Linked DNA regions of Coturnix japonica. The protein of the gene in region 1 interacts with the protein of each later gene in a pairwise test. Links are inferred from orthologs where the notes say so. Each region holds a gene or a part of one and is shown in the gene's direction. Other genes may lie near its edges. The genes, in order: IPCEF1, CYTH1 and CYTH3.

What was found.
Region 2: the proteins of IPCEF1 (region 1) and CYTH1 interact in binary tests that used the Homo sapiens proteins (3 or more experiments, as listed by UniProt). The link is inferred for Coturnix japonica from reciprocal best matches to the Homo sapiens genes IPCEF1 and CYTH1.
Region 3: the proteins of IPCEF1 (region 1) and CYTH3 interact in binary tests that used the Homo sapiens proteins (3 or more experiments, as listed by UniProt). The link is inferred for Coturnix japonica from reciprocal best matches to the Homo sapiens genes IPCEF1 and CYTH3.

The regions. Positions count from the first base shown.
Region 1 is NC_029518.1:45,233,724-45,237,471, reverse strand, and holds the start of IPCEF1 (interactor protein for cytohesin exchange factors 1), read left to right. Parts: upstream 1-1,329; 5' UTR 1,330-1,506; intron 1,507-1,610; exon of another isoform or gene 1,611-1,851; intron 1,852-3,748. UniProt on the Homo sapiens protein: Enhances the promotion of guanine-nucleotide exchange by PSCD2 on ARF6 in a concentration-dependent manner.
Region 2 is NC_029533.1:4,599,375-4,603,122, reverse strand, and holds the start of CYTH1 (cytohesin-1), read left to right. Parts: upstream 1-1,226; 5' UTR 1,227-1,357; coding exon 1,358-1,430; intron 1,431-2,900; exon of another isoform or gene 2,901-3,180; coding exon of another isoform or gene 3,181-3,205; intron 3,206-3,748. UniProt on the Homo sapiens protein: Promotes guanine-nucleotide exchange on ARF1, ARF5 and ARF6. Promotes the activation of ARF factors through replacement of GDP with GTP.
Region 3 is NC_029529.1:8,519,582-8,523,229, forward strand, and holds part of CYTH3 (cytohesin-3), read left to right. Parts: intron 1-432; coding exon 433-545; intron 546-1,331; coding exon 1,332-1,480; intron 1,481-2,255; coding exon 2,256-2,367; intron 2,368-3,648. UniProt on the Homo sapiens protein: Promotes guanine-nucleotide exchange on ARF1 and ARF6. Promotes the activation of ARF factors through replacement of GDP with GTP. Plays a role in the epithelial polarization.

The DNA.
Region 1 (3,748 bases):
ATTTGGCACATTTTCAAATTTCAGAAGATTTTGGGACACTCTGGTCTCACACAGTGCTTGCTGCTTGGGTAGCTGGGTAAGATGGGAAATGTTTTGGCAAGGGTGGATGAATCTGACAGCACTGGTTCGGGATAGGAGCTGTAGGATGCAAGTTGCACCAGCCTAACAAGTTTGACACAAGCTCTTCAGGTTGCATATGTATAATGTCTGCATCCTAAGATGAAGCAAAATTCAGTTGTGATGAAAATAAAAGTATGGCTCACAAACCATTGGTGGAAAAATATATGCATGGTTTCTGGTGGCATTCTGTTATTACTACCTACCTTGCAACCTTCAATCCTTCTATCTTTGCTGAAGCACAGTAGTCTGTGGTGGCATGGGTGCTGCATGTGGATTCAGACAACAACTAACTGTGTGTCTCCTGCAGAGCACCTTGGGCTGGTTCTACATGCTCATGCTGCTTTTGTTCTCTAGGACAAACAAGCACTTCTCCTGGAAAGTTAACAGGGCAGATCGGGAAGGAACAAGTCAGCACAAGGTCTGATTCTTCTTTTTTTTGTGTCAAATCTGATCTGTTTGGTTTAACAGGGCCGTTCTTGATTTATGGCTACAGGGCTGAAATAAAAGTAGGATCTTGTTGACAGAGAGGAATCAAGTGAACTTCTGAATAAATGAGAAAGGGAAATTAGAGAAGCAAAAACAGATACTATTTCTTCATCCTTGAGCACCACACTAAGTACATTCATTTTGTTTATGTGTGTTCATTTGTTCTCAGCCTATATCTGGGAATTTTTAATGGTATTCTCCTGTGAGTTACTAAATAGTGAGAGCATCTTGAACCTTCAAAATGTAGCTGCAGTTAAGTCTGTGAAATGCCTAGGAACAAAACAGGTGCTTACTGTGTTGCGGTATCTGAGAAAGCAACATCTGGCCTTTCTGTTCCTTCCCAGCCCTTCCAGCTTAAAACCAATGCACATCACATCAGGTGGCTTTCGAAATGATGAGTTTGCCACTAGATCCTCTTGTCATTGTCCTGCTCACTGCAACTTTTGAGAACGATTTTTTAGATAGGTATATAAAGGCTGGAGATGCTGGAGTATGTAAACACAAGTGAATCTAGCTGTTAATAGGTCTGAGAACTGGAACTCTTGTATTGTAACAGATACAGTGCTGTATTTTAGATGGAAGGTTATTCTTCAAATAGAAGTTGTTTTGATATGTACTTGGACTATTAATTATGCTTGCGATTCAGAAATGCACAAAGCGCCATTTGTGTGCATCTTCAGCAGAGTTCATGTGGAAACACTGAATCATCCAAATCATCTGAATGATGCATACTATTCAGGGGCTGTTTTCTTCAGCAGGCAGCTGGTGATCTCTCTTCCTGTATTCATGGGGCAGTTTTGAGGGGGTGGTAAGAAAAGGAAGAGGGGAAGTAGTCCTAGGTGCCCGGGCAGCCCTCTTGGTTCACATATGCAAACTTTACGAGTGATCTCTTGACTTGTGGTAAGTTAAAACTGTATTCAGAGGATTGAAGTAACGATGTACATTATGAGCAATTTATACAAGTTGTTTTGTTTTAAAGTAATGATGTTTTATACATTTTTCAGGTGTGATCTGCTTAGTGTAAGTTATGTTTCAAGCAGTGCTTCCTGAGGAGGATGTGGGAGTCGTGCAAAGGCAGGAGGAGATCCCTCAGATGGGGTGGATTCTGTGTCTGCTGTTCTCATCTAACAGTCAGGAGATTTGGCACTGGCCAGGAAATGGAAACCCAGCCTCTGTCTTGTGCAGCCTTAATTTTATGTGTTCAGCAACCTAATCTTGGTGGTAGATTGTTTAATACAGAAAAAGGTAATGAGAGAGAATAATGAGACAAACAGAGTGATAATTGAGTGAATAGTTTTTGTTTGTTTTGTTTTTAATGTAGTAGGGATTAGGGGAGACAGATACTGTCCTTCCTACACATCAGGCAGCTTTAGTTTTCCAGCTAATAGGATGCATTTAGTTTTCTCTGGGATATTTTGTTGATAGTGGCAAGCGAGCACGCTGTGACTTTTTATGTTCTACCCCTTTCTGACACTCTCACTTATTTATATCGTGCACATTTTGTAACAAGCAGAACTGTACAGCTGTAAATGTCCACAGCACGCTGGATCCATGATTTAATTATTTTCTAAGCACGTTCATACAAAAAAGAAAATTAAAAATTAAGGTCTAAGTTGCAGAAGTTAAGTGTCTGGGTTTGGAATAGAAAAAGCAATGCAGAGGTGACTTGCTCAAATAACTTGTTGGCTCGATATATGCATACATGCACACATATATACACACATATATATCACTATATGTATGTACTTATAAGCAAAGATCAGTGAAAAGATTTGGGGCTCTTGTTTTCAGCAGGTTCTTCCTGAAAGTCTCTTATTAACCAAACTAATGGAGAATTTCCATTCCTTTTAGTTACCATCATTTTAGGCCAGCAGTGCCCATCACTGAAGATGGAGTACTTACTACAGCAGATAATTTACAAGGAGGGGCAATGGCATTTTAAAGACTCTTTGCTCAGGGAGTGTTGGCTCCTCAGAAAATATTGAATAAATTGGTGTTGAATAGTCTTAAGTGACTGATTTGTTCTTATAAGAAAAAACGTGATAAAGATTTCTGTAAATAAATAGAAACTATAGGGCTAATTTTCATAGGACAAGAGGTAATAGGCTTAAATGGAGCATGGGGCTGAAAGTTAGTAAAAATTTATTTACTAAGAGAATTAAACACTGAATTAGAGATCTGAAGGAAGCTGTGATGCCTCTGTTACTTGCTGCAATTAAAAAACATGTTAGGTAGCCCTCTGTCAGGAATAGTCCAAGTATAATTGACCTGATGGGAGAGGCAGACTTAATGATTCCTCAAAATCTCTTTCCAGTTTTGCCTCGAGTACCTCTATTATGAGGAAATGCTGGGTCTGTTCAGCCATGAGAAAAGAAGACTCAGTGGGTATCTGATCAATGTCTATAAACATCTAAGGTTCAGAATGCAAATGTCCAGACTCCTTTTGGCAGTGCATGGCAAATAGGACAAGGGGATATAGCCAGAAAATTGAATCAGAGGAAGTTCTGCACAAATCAATCTAGTTGGTAATCTTTATCTCCTCTCTGGACCATACATTTTTTCCCATAAGTAAGAAATGCTTCTTCAGGCCTGTGACTGTTACCTTGACTGTGATTCAGTGCACATGGGAAAGCATCAGTTATTTCAGGAAGCAGTAGATGAGTGTATGCATATGATTCCAAGATTAGTTCCTGGGTACATTTTCAGATAACTGATGTATATGCAATTAAAATGTTTGAAGATGCGAAGTGCCAAGTTTACTGATAAACAATGCTTAGTCATGCAAATAAACATAAGTATTTAAATTAGAGCAATTTCAATATGACTCATATTGTGTAAAATAATTTGTATAAAAATACGGAATAGGCAATTTATTAGTGGGAACAACCTTTGATTAGGGGAGCTGAGTTTTAAGTTTTTTAGGGAGTATTAATATGCAGCAAGGTAGCAATGTAAGAGAATAATAAACTAAGTTAAAAACTAATAATTAATAACCTTTGTTTTTCAAATGCATTGAGAACTATAAGCAAGATACTTATATCTTCTTTTCTCTGCTTGAGCTGCACTACAACTCAGAGTGTCCTGGGAATGCTCAGATATGAACTGCCTGAAACATGGCAGCTTTACTGGCTGGTTTGAGTCA
Region 2 (3,748 bases), on another chromosome or scaffold:
GCCACACATCCCTGAGCTGTTGTTTCAGCCCACCCATGGCTCTGGGTGCACAGCACAGTGCCCTGAGCTGGGGCTGCAATGTGGAAGCAGAGACTGAGCCACAGTTGGTGCAGCTGTGATTATTGCAGCCCATTTCAAGTGCCCGTGGCTGCCCTCCCTGCACAGGCTCCCCCTGGCCCAGCCCTGTGTCCCTGCAGCTCCTCACACCTTTCACCTCTGCAGTGAGGAGGAGGCAGAAGCTGTTTGCTTCCAAGGGAAGGGGAAGCAGCACAACTCAGTCATGGAGGTGATGAGCACCTGTGAGCAGCCGTTCCCATCTCCTTCCCATCCATCCACAGCTGCTCCCAACACCAGGGTAACTCTTGCCTGTCCCCAGCCATGCCCCCAAGGTCCTGTGCCCATTCCCATAGCCCTTCCCCATCTGGATGCTATCTGCCCACCCTGGGGGTTCTCCAGCTCAGCCCATTGCAGCAGGCTCCCAGCAGCAGTCAGGACCCAGTACCAGGTGCCGTCTGCAGGACACGGCCTCATGCCCCGACAGGCTCTGCAGTCTGTTACTCACGGACGTGCCCCACGCTGGGGAATCACTCCTGCTCGGAGGAAGGGAAGGAGCTGTCTGTCCGGTTTGGGCTCCCTCGCTGCCTGTGGGGCTGGCAGGTTGGGGGCCGGGTGCGGTGGGGCTGAGTGCTGCCCCCAGCCCTGCTGGAGGCCCATAGCTCGGGCAGAGCCCCAGCTCCTGCTGTAGGAGCATCCCGGCTGCCAGGGCCTGGAGAATCATCTCCATCACAGCCATGATGTGCCAGCTCCAGGCTGCCCGCTCTGCATTCCCAGGTGCCTGAATCCATTGTGGCCATACTGGGGAGCAGCGTTCCCCTGTTCCCCACAACTGGGGGCTCCCCACGCCAGCTCCAGCCCGTTGTGTTTCTTTATGCACCTTCCTTTTATGCAGGGAAGGTTGCTACGCAACCAGCGGCTCTTGATGCTTAAAGCTCTAATACGGTGGGATAAAACCGCTCTAAAAATACCCCCGCCGTCAGCCACCCAGGGGCCGGGGCATGCAGGGGGGCAGAGGGGGGGCAGGCAGCCTGATACCAGGGGTGCTGTTGGGAACTTCCCTACTCTACGTCCTCCAAGTGGCTTTGAGTGCCCAGGAACACAGCAGCGTTCGGTGCCGGCACGGAGCGGGATTGGCTGCGACCGGCGCGTGGGCTCCTGCTGCTGGAGCCTCCCGCTGCCAGAGCCGCCTTCCCCTGCTCCAGGAGGAGCGGGGACACCCGGGGCAGCCCCAGCTGCAGGGAGCTGCTGTGCGGTGCCCTCCTGCCCTCAGCCTGCCCCGGGGGAGCCGGCACTGCGCAGCATGGGGACGGTCAGCGAGCTCTGCGCCTCCAGCTTCCAGGCCTTCCTCTGCCCCTCCGTGGCCACCACGGCAGGTAGGTGCTTTGTGCCCCATCCCTGTCCCCCCCAGCAGACGAGGTGCCCGTAGCTCTGGCTCCATATGGCTCATGCTGACAGCAGCACACAGTCCCAGTTGTCTTGCTGTCTCCTTCCACCGTGCGCTGCCAGGCTTGGGCCCCCCTGGGCTCTGGGTGCAGCTTGTATTGCACCACATTGCTGGGATGGGGAGCCCATGGGAGCACAGTGGGTTCACGTGGCACAGTGAGATGTGTCCAGCAGCTCCTTGCTCTCTTACCCCAGCGCTGCTGCGGGTGATGCCCTCACTGCTGCCCTACTCGGAGCAGGAAGGAGCATGCGTGGCTGTGAGCACAGCTCCAGCCCACGTCCTCCAGACAAAACCTGGCTGGGGCACCCTGACGCCTGCTGTGTCACAGCTGCCACCGTGGGCTGGCAGTGCCTGTGAGCTGCTGTTGTCTGTCTGCAGGCTCCTGCTCCCGAGCTGAGACCTGGGAATAGAGAGTAAGCAAGGAGCACATGGGGTGCACTCCTGGCACTCTTGCAGGACGTGGGGCTGTAGGAAGGCATAGCACAGTGAGGATGGATGTGGCTCCGTTGTGTGCCCCTGCTGTACTCCAGCCCCGCAGCCAGGATGGGCTCTGTGCTTAGGGGGTGCAGGAGCCTGGAACTGGTGGGCTGGGTTCCTTGCTGGGGGCAGGGCTGCTCCAAGGGGCTGAGAACCCCCGGCAGCTCTCAGCTATGGGGTGGGGTTGGGGGATTCTATCTTGGAGCCGCCCTATGCTGTGCTCCTGACGCACCTCATCTGTCTGTGGGGAAGAACAGGGCTGACGCAACCCAGGATGTGCACACAGCACAGTGAAAACAGGATGTGGTGCACTGGGGCAGCGGCAGGAAGTTTCTTGGGGCCCCTCAGCAACCCCCCCCCCCAGCAGTGGGGTGCAGCAGGAGCCCCATGGTGGAACCCACAAGCAATGCCCTGTGGTCAGCAGCCCCTGCCCTGGGCTGGGGCATCCCTGCGGTCTGTTCAGCTCTGCTTGTGGATGGAGCTGTGCAGCAGGAGGGCTGTGTCCCTGCAGCACAGCGTTCAGCTGGAAGGCCAATGTGAGCCTCTTTTTAGCTCCTTCTTCCCTGAGCTTTCCTGGGAGATGCTCTGGATGCTGTTTTTCCATCACACGCTGTGGAGCAGGATTTAGCTGAGTCAATGTGCCGGAGCTCTTGTGGTCTCCCCGGGCAGCTGCAGCGGGACAGGACCTTGCTGAGGGCTGTGCTGCTGCAGGCACGGCCCTATTGCAGGGAATGAGAGCAGGTGGTCCTTACAGCCTATACAGGCCCTGAACCCACACATGGGGGGGGGGATATGGCTGGACAGTGCCAGATCTTCAGGGCAGGGTTGGGGCTCTGGATGGGGTGGGAGAGGGGTCCCTGGTGTCACCGCCCTGAGCTTGGGACGTGCTGAGCCGCATGCATCCTGGCAGCCCCCGAGGAAGGAAGGGCCGGGCCAGCTCCAGTGCCTGCAAGGATGGGTGGGCGGCAGTGACCCTGGGGGCCGAGGAGGGGGCGCGGGGCTCTGGCTGCACAGGAACCGGGTGTTGCTGGTGCCAGTTCTCAGCCGGGCTGCGATGACGCCTGGCACAGCGCTGAGCTCATTGGCCTGGAGCTGCCCTGACTCACCCAGGAAGCTCTGGGAGGGGGCAGCTGTTGGCACCCCAAAGAGCAGCACCTCTGCAGCACTGTGCAGACGTGGGCAGCGGGACACAGCCCAGCAGGATGGTCCTCGGGGTGCAGGGCAGCGGTGAGCAGATGGGCCTGCGTGGGGCAGTGGGTGGGAAGGAGGCACGTGGGGCTGAATGCGATGCAGAGGGGCTTTGTGTCTGTTCAAGGCATGGTGTGAGCGGGGTATTTGCTCCTTGAATCCAGGATGGAGCCTTGCCATGCTCCTCACTGCCCTGGGGGTGAGGCAGCAGCTCCCCTGCATTGCTCTGCAGAGGTTGGGGGGATGGCTCAGAGTATTGGTGCTCTGTGGTTTGTGCTGAGAATCCTTGCACCCAGCATGGCAGCCTGGGATGATAGCCTGGCATGGGATGTTAGCCTGGCATGGGATGATAGCCTGGCATGGCTGCTGGATTTGGTGTTCTGCTCCAGCCCCCTCTTGCAGCCTTGTGCAGGCTCAGAGGTTGCTGCAGCTCCACTCGGTGCTATGGAAGGGTTAACGCCTGCGTCCTTCGCTGAGAAAAGCTCTGCGTCTGGGGTTTCTCTTCCTCCTGCTGCTGCTGACACGGCTGGGCCATGTCACGAGTGCTCTCCCAGCACAGCATCAGGCAGGCTTGGGGGGGGG
Region 3 (3,648 bases), on another chromosome or scaffold:
TTTTCTCCCTACCAGAAATATTTTATCTCCTGTTTCTTTCTGCATTGCAAGTAAAGTCTAACTGAGTGCTTATTGCTTTTAGTAGACAGGGATCCCAGGGAGGATTGACCTGTTTTTGTTCCCTCTCTAGTATTCTCATGGAAAAATGGGATGCATACAGAAAATTGTTTCCTAGCCCTGAAAAAAGAGAGTCTCAGAACATGAACTGCCATATTACCTTGCCTGATAGCATGCAGTGCTGCTGGCTGCATTACTGGGTTACCATCTGTGCATGTTGCTTTACGATAGCTCCTGACTTGTTTGGTGAGAAATTGAGAACATATTTCTAGGACACTATATCCACATTGCTGGGTTTTGTTTCTGATTATTAGCAATAGTTGCTTAATATATAAATATTGGCGTGAGTCTAACAGTGATTCTTCTTTTCTGTAGGCAGTTTCTGTGGAGCTTCAGACTCCCAGGAGAGGCTCAGAAAATTGACCGTATGATGGAAGCTTTTGCTTCACGCTATTGCCTTTGTAACCCAGGTGTCTTTCAGTCTACAGGTTAGTTATATGTGATGTTAAAATGTTAATGTTCTTCCACATCTGGTTCAAGGAAACAGTGGCTAATTTGAAAGTCCAAAGTAAAATAATACGTGGAATAATCAGTTCCTGAGAACTGAGAAAATGCTGCTATCTGATTCTATATTTCACATCTGGAAACCACAAGCTGATGGTCAAGTATTCATTTCCACTTACTAAACTCTACCATTACTATGTAAACTAATTTGAGTATAAGACACACTTTAGAAATGTCCCCAGACTGTTTTGGCTGCGTGTAGCTGAAAAGTTAAATCACGGCCTGACCAGTGACTGACACCTGGTATGAAGGCAGGGCCAGCCCAGGGCAGCTCAGGTACATGCAGCGCAGCTGAGGGAGCAGAAGGGGTGGAGGCAGGACCCACTTCTGCCCAGACCTAATGTAAGGGTTTGCAGTGGAAGTGAGAGTATCTTGCTGGAGATTTGGAGTTCTTCCAGAGGTAAGTAGTTTGTTTTGCTTTGTTTATGTGTCCACAGCTGCTGCATTTGGGCTTGTTCTTGTTTGCTGCAGCCCAGGATTGTGCCACTCTGCTATTATTGCTGTATATAAAATGTTATTTTCAGTTTTATTTACATGCAGTTCAAGTGTTATTTTGAAGAGACTGTTCTTCCTCTGGGTGTCTGTGATAAAACTTTGGAGACACTTTGAATTGGTGTCTGACAGACCAAGTCAGTTACAGCATCTACTCAAGTTTGTAAACAGAAAATGCATATATAGAAAAATAAATCATTTTTCAAATCTGATTTCAGATACGTGCTACGTGCTGTCCTTCGCTATCATCATGCTGAACACCAGCCTGCACAACCCCAACGTCAAGGACAAACCCACAGCAGAGCGATTCATCGCCATGAACCGTGGCATCAACGATGGGGGGGACCTGCCTGAGGAGTTGCTACGGGTGAGTGAAAATGGTGCAGATCAGGGGTTGCTTTTTGTTTTTTAATAGGAAAATGAGAAACGTACACGACAGTTCTCAGACTGATTTCTCAAGGGAAGTAACGAGAACTTTTTCTGCCACGTGTAACCATTTGAGAAACTGAAAGAAGTGTTGACTGATACTCGTGGTTAGTTGTCTCTAACTTTGGTTGGTCTAATGTTGAGAAGAGATTCTGGAGGAAATCCTCTGTATGTTTCTCACACTGTGCTGTGCCAGTGTTCTTATGGGAAAAGTATTATTCCTACTTAAGTCAGAGAAAGGAGGAAAATTAATTGATGAAAACATCATTGTTTTGTTACTGCCTTTCTATTCTTTCCATGTATCGTGTGGAGCTTCCTCCTCTGCCCTGAGCTAACAGCAGAGATGTTTACTTCACTAACGCAGTGTGATGGTATGAAGTATTTTCTAAGAGCCCAGATTAGTTTGGCAACAATTACAGAAAATTGGAACAGTTTGAGAAGCTGAAACTTCTGCAGTGTGGAATTCTGCGATAACAGTGTGTTCGATGGGGAGTACTTACAAAATCTGGGGGAAGGGAGGGAGAGTTTACACAGAAAGTAATTGGAAAACAAACTTATTCAGTGTGTTAAACAGCAATTGGGAATGGATGGTCCTGAGTTATTTGGCAGCGTTTGCTTTCTGTACAAATGAACTGAGCAGCAGTAGGATGTTCTGGTTGTGTTTTCTGTTACATGTTACTAATGAGGTCTTCTTCCTGTTTTTTTTATTCTTCTAGAATTTATATGAAAGTATTAAGAACGAGCCCTTTAAAATCCCAGAGGATGATGGCAATGACCTCACACACACCTTCTTCAACCCTGACCGGGAGGGCTGGCTGCTGAAATTAGGTTAGTTACAGGAGCAATCTCGCTGCTGTCTGTTGGTTGTTAGCGTGTCTGCTCCTTCTGTGTCTGCTGCTTCCTTATAAACGTAACGGGGTTCGTGCTGTAATTTACATTTAAAACGCTTAAGCCAAAATAAGTAACTCCTTTACAAGGGAAGGTTGTTACTCCTTATTGCACTTCTACATACCAGCCGTCTTGTTTCAGACTTAGGAGTTTTTTTCTGGTATCTGAGAACTGAAAACTCAGCAGCAGAAAGGAAACTCCATCTGGTGTTTGCCACGTGCCGTGATGGATGGATAACAGCTAAACCTCCACGGAGTCACTGCAGAAAACTAGTGAAATTTTGACTCAGTTTTCTGCGTGCAAAACCAGGATTTCTCGTCAAAGAGTTATTTTTGTGTGTCTTTATTTTTCCATATTATTTGTGAGTTTCTCTTGGTTTGGTTTTGGTATGATTTTTTAATGAGTGGTTTAAATGTGCCTTCTTGTTTTCCTTATGGCCTATGACCTATCACCTTTCTGTTCTGTGACTGGCTGTCTCTGCTTATTCGCATTAGGAGGTACGTATCTGATTGCTTTCCAGCCCCCTCTTGTTCAGTTGCTCATTCTTTTATTTTCTTCCTCTTCCCTCCTCTGTTTTGTTTTTTTTTGTTGTTGTTGTTTTCTTTTATATTTTTTTTTTTTACTTTTTTTCTTAAATTTATTGTATCACTTTGCTTTTTCACTCGGTGTCACTAACCGTATCATCAGTGCTGTTCTGTCCACAAAGGCTGGCATGAGTGTCTGGCTCATGTGCAGGCATCCTCTGCTCAAGGAGGTGTTTGAACGTAAAGCAGGAAAACAGATGATTTTTCTGCATTCACTGAAGGATGCAACTAGAAGAACAATTCTGACCGAGAGAAAAACGTTTTGTGCTCTAACAAAATCACTTTGGATCTTTGTTATTAATTTTATGTTAGAATTTTGGGAAACCTTGATTGCATTGGGAACTACACACACAGCAAAGCTGTTCTTCTTCTGTGTATTGTCTTTCGTAAGCGTCCTATTGAGTAAGAAAAACATATTCTTAAATTAGTGTGAATTTAGGGGCACTGGACCCTTCAGTGATACGCAGCCCCTGGCACTGCACTGTTACAGCCTCCATTAAGCAAATGAATCCCATCAGTTTTACTTGTGCTCAGGGATTTTTCTCCCCTATAAAGCAGAGTGAAATGTGATATTGTTCATTTGCTGTTTTTGCCCGATGTGATAAATCTCTTTTATACAAAGCCAGTGATGACACAC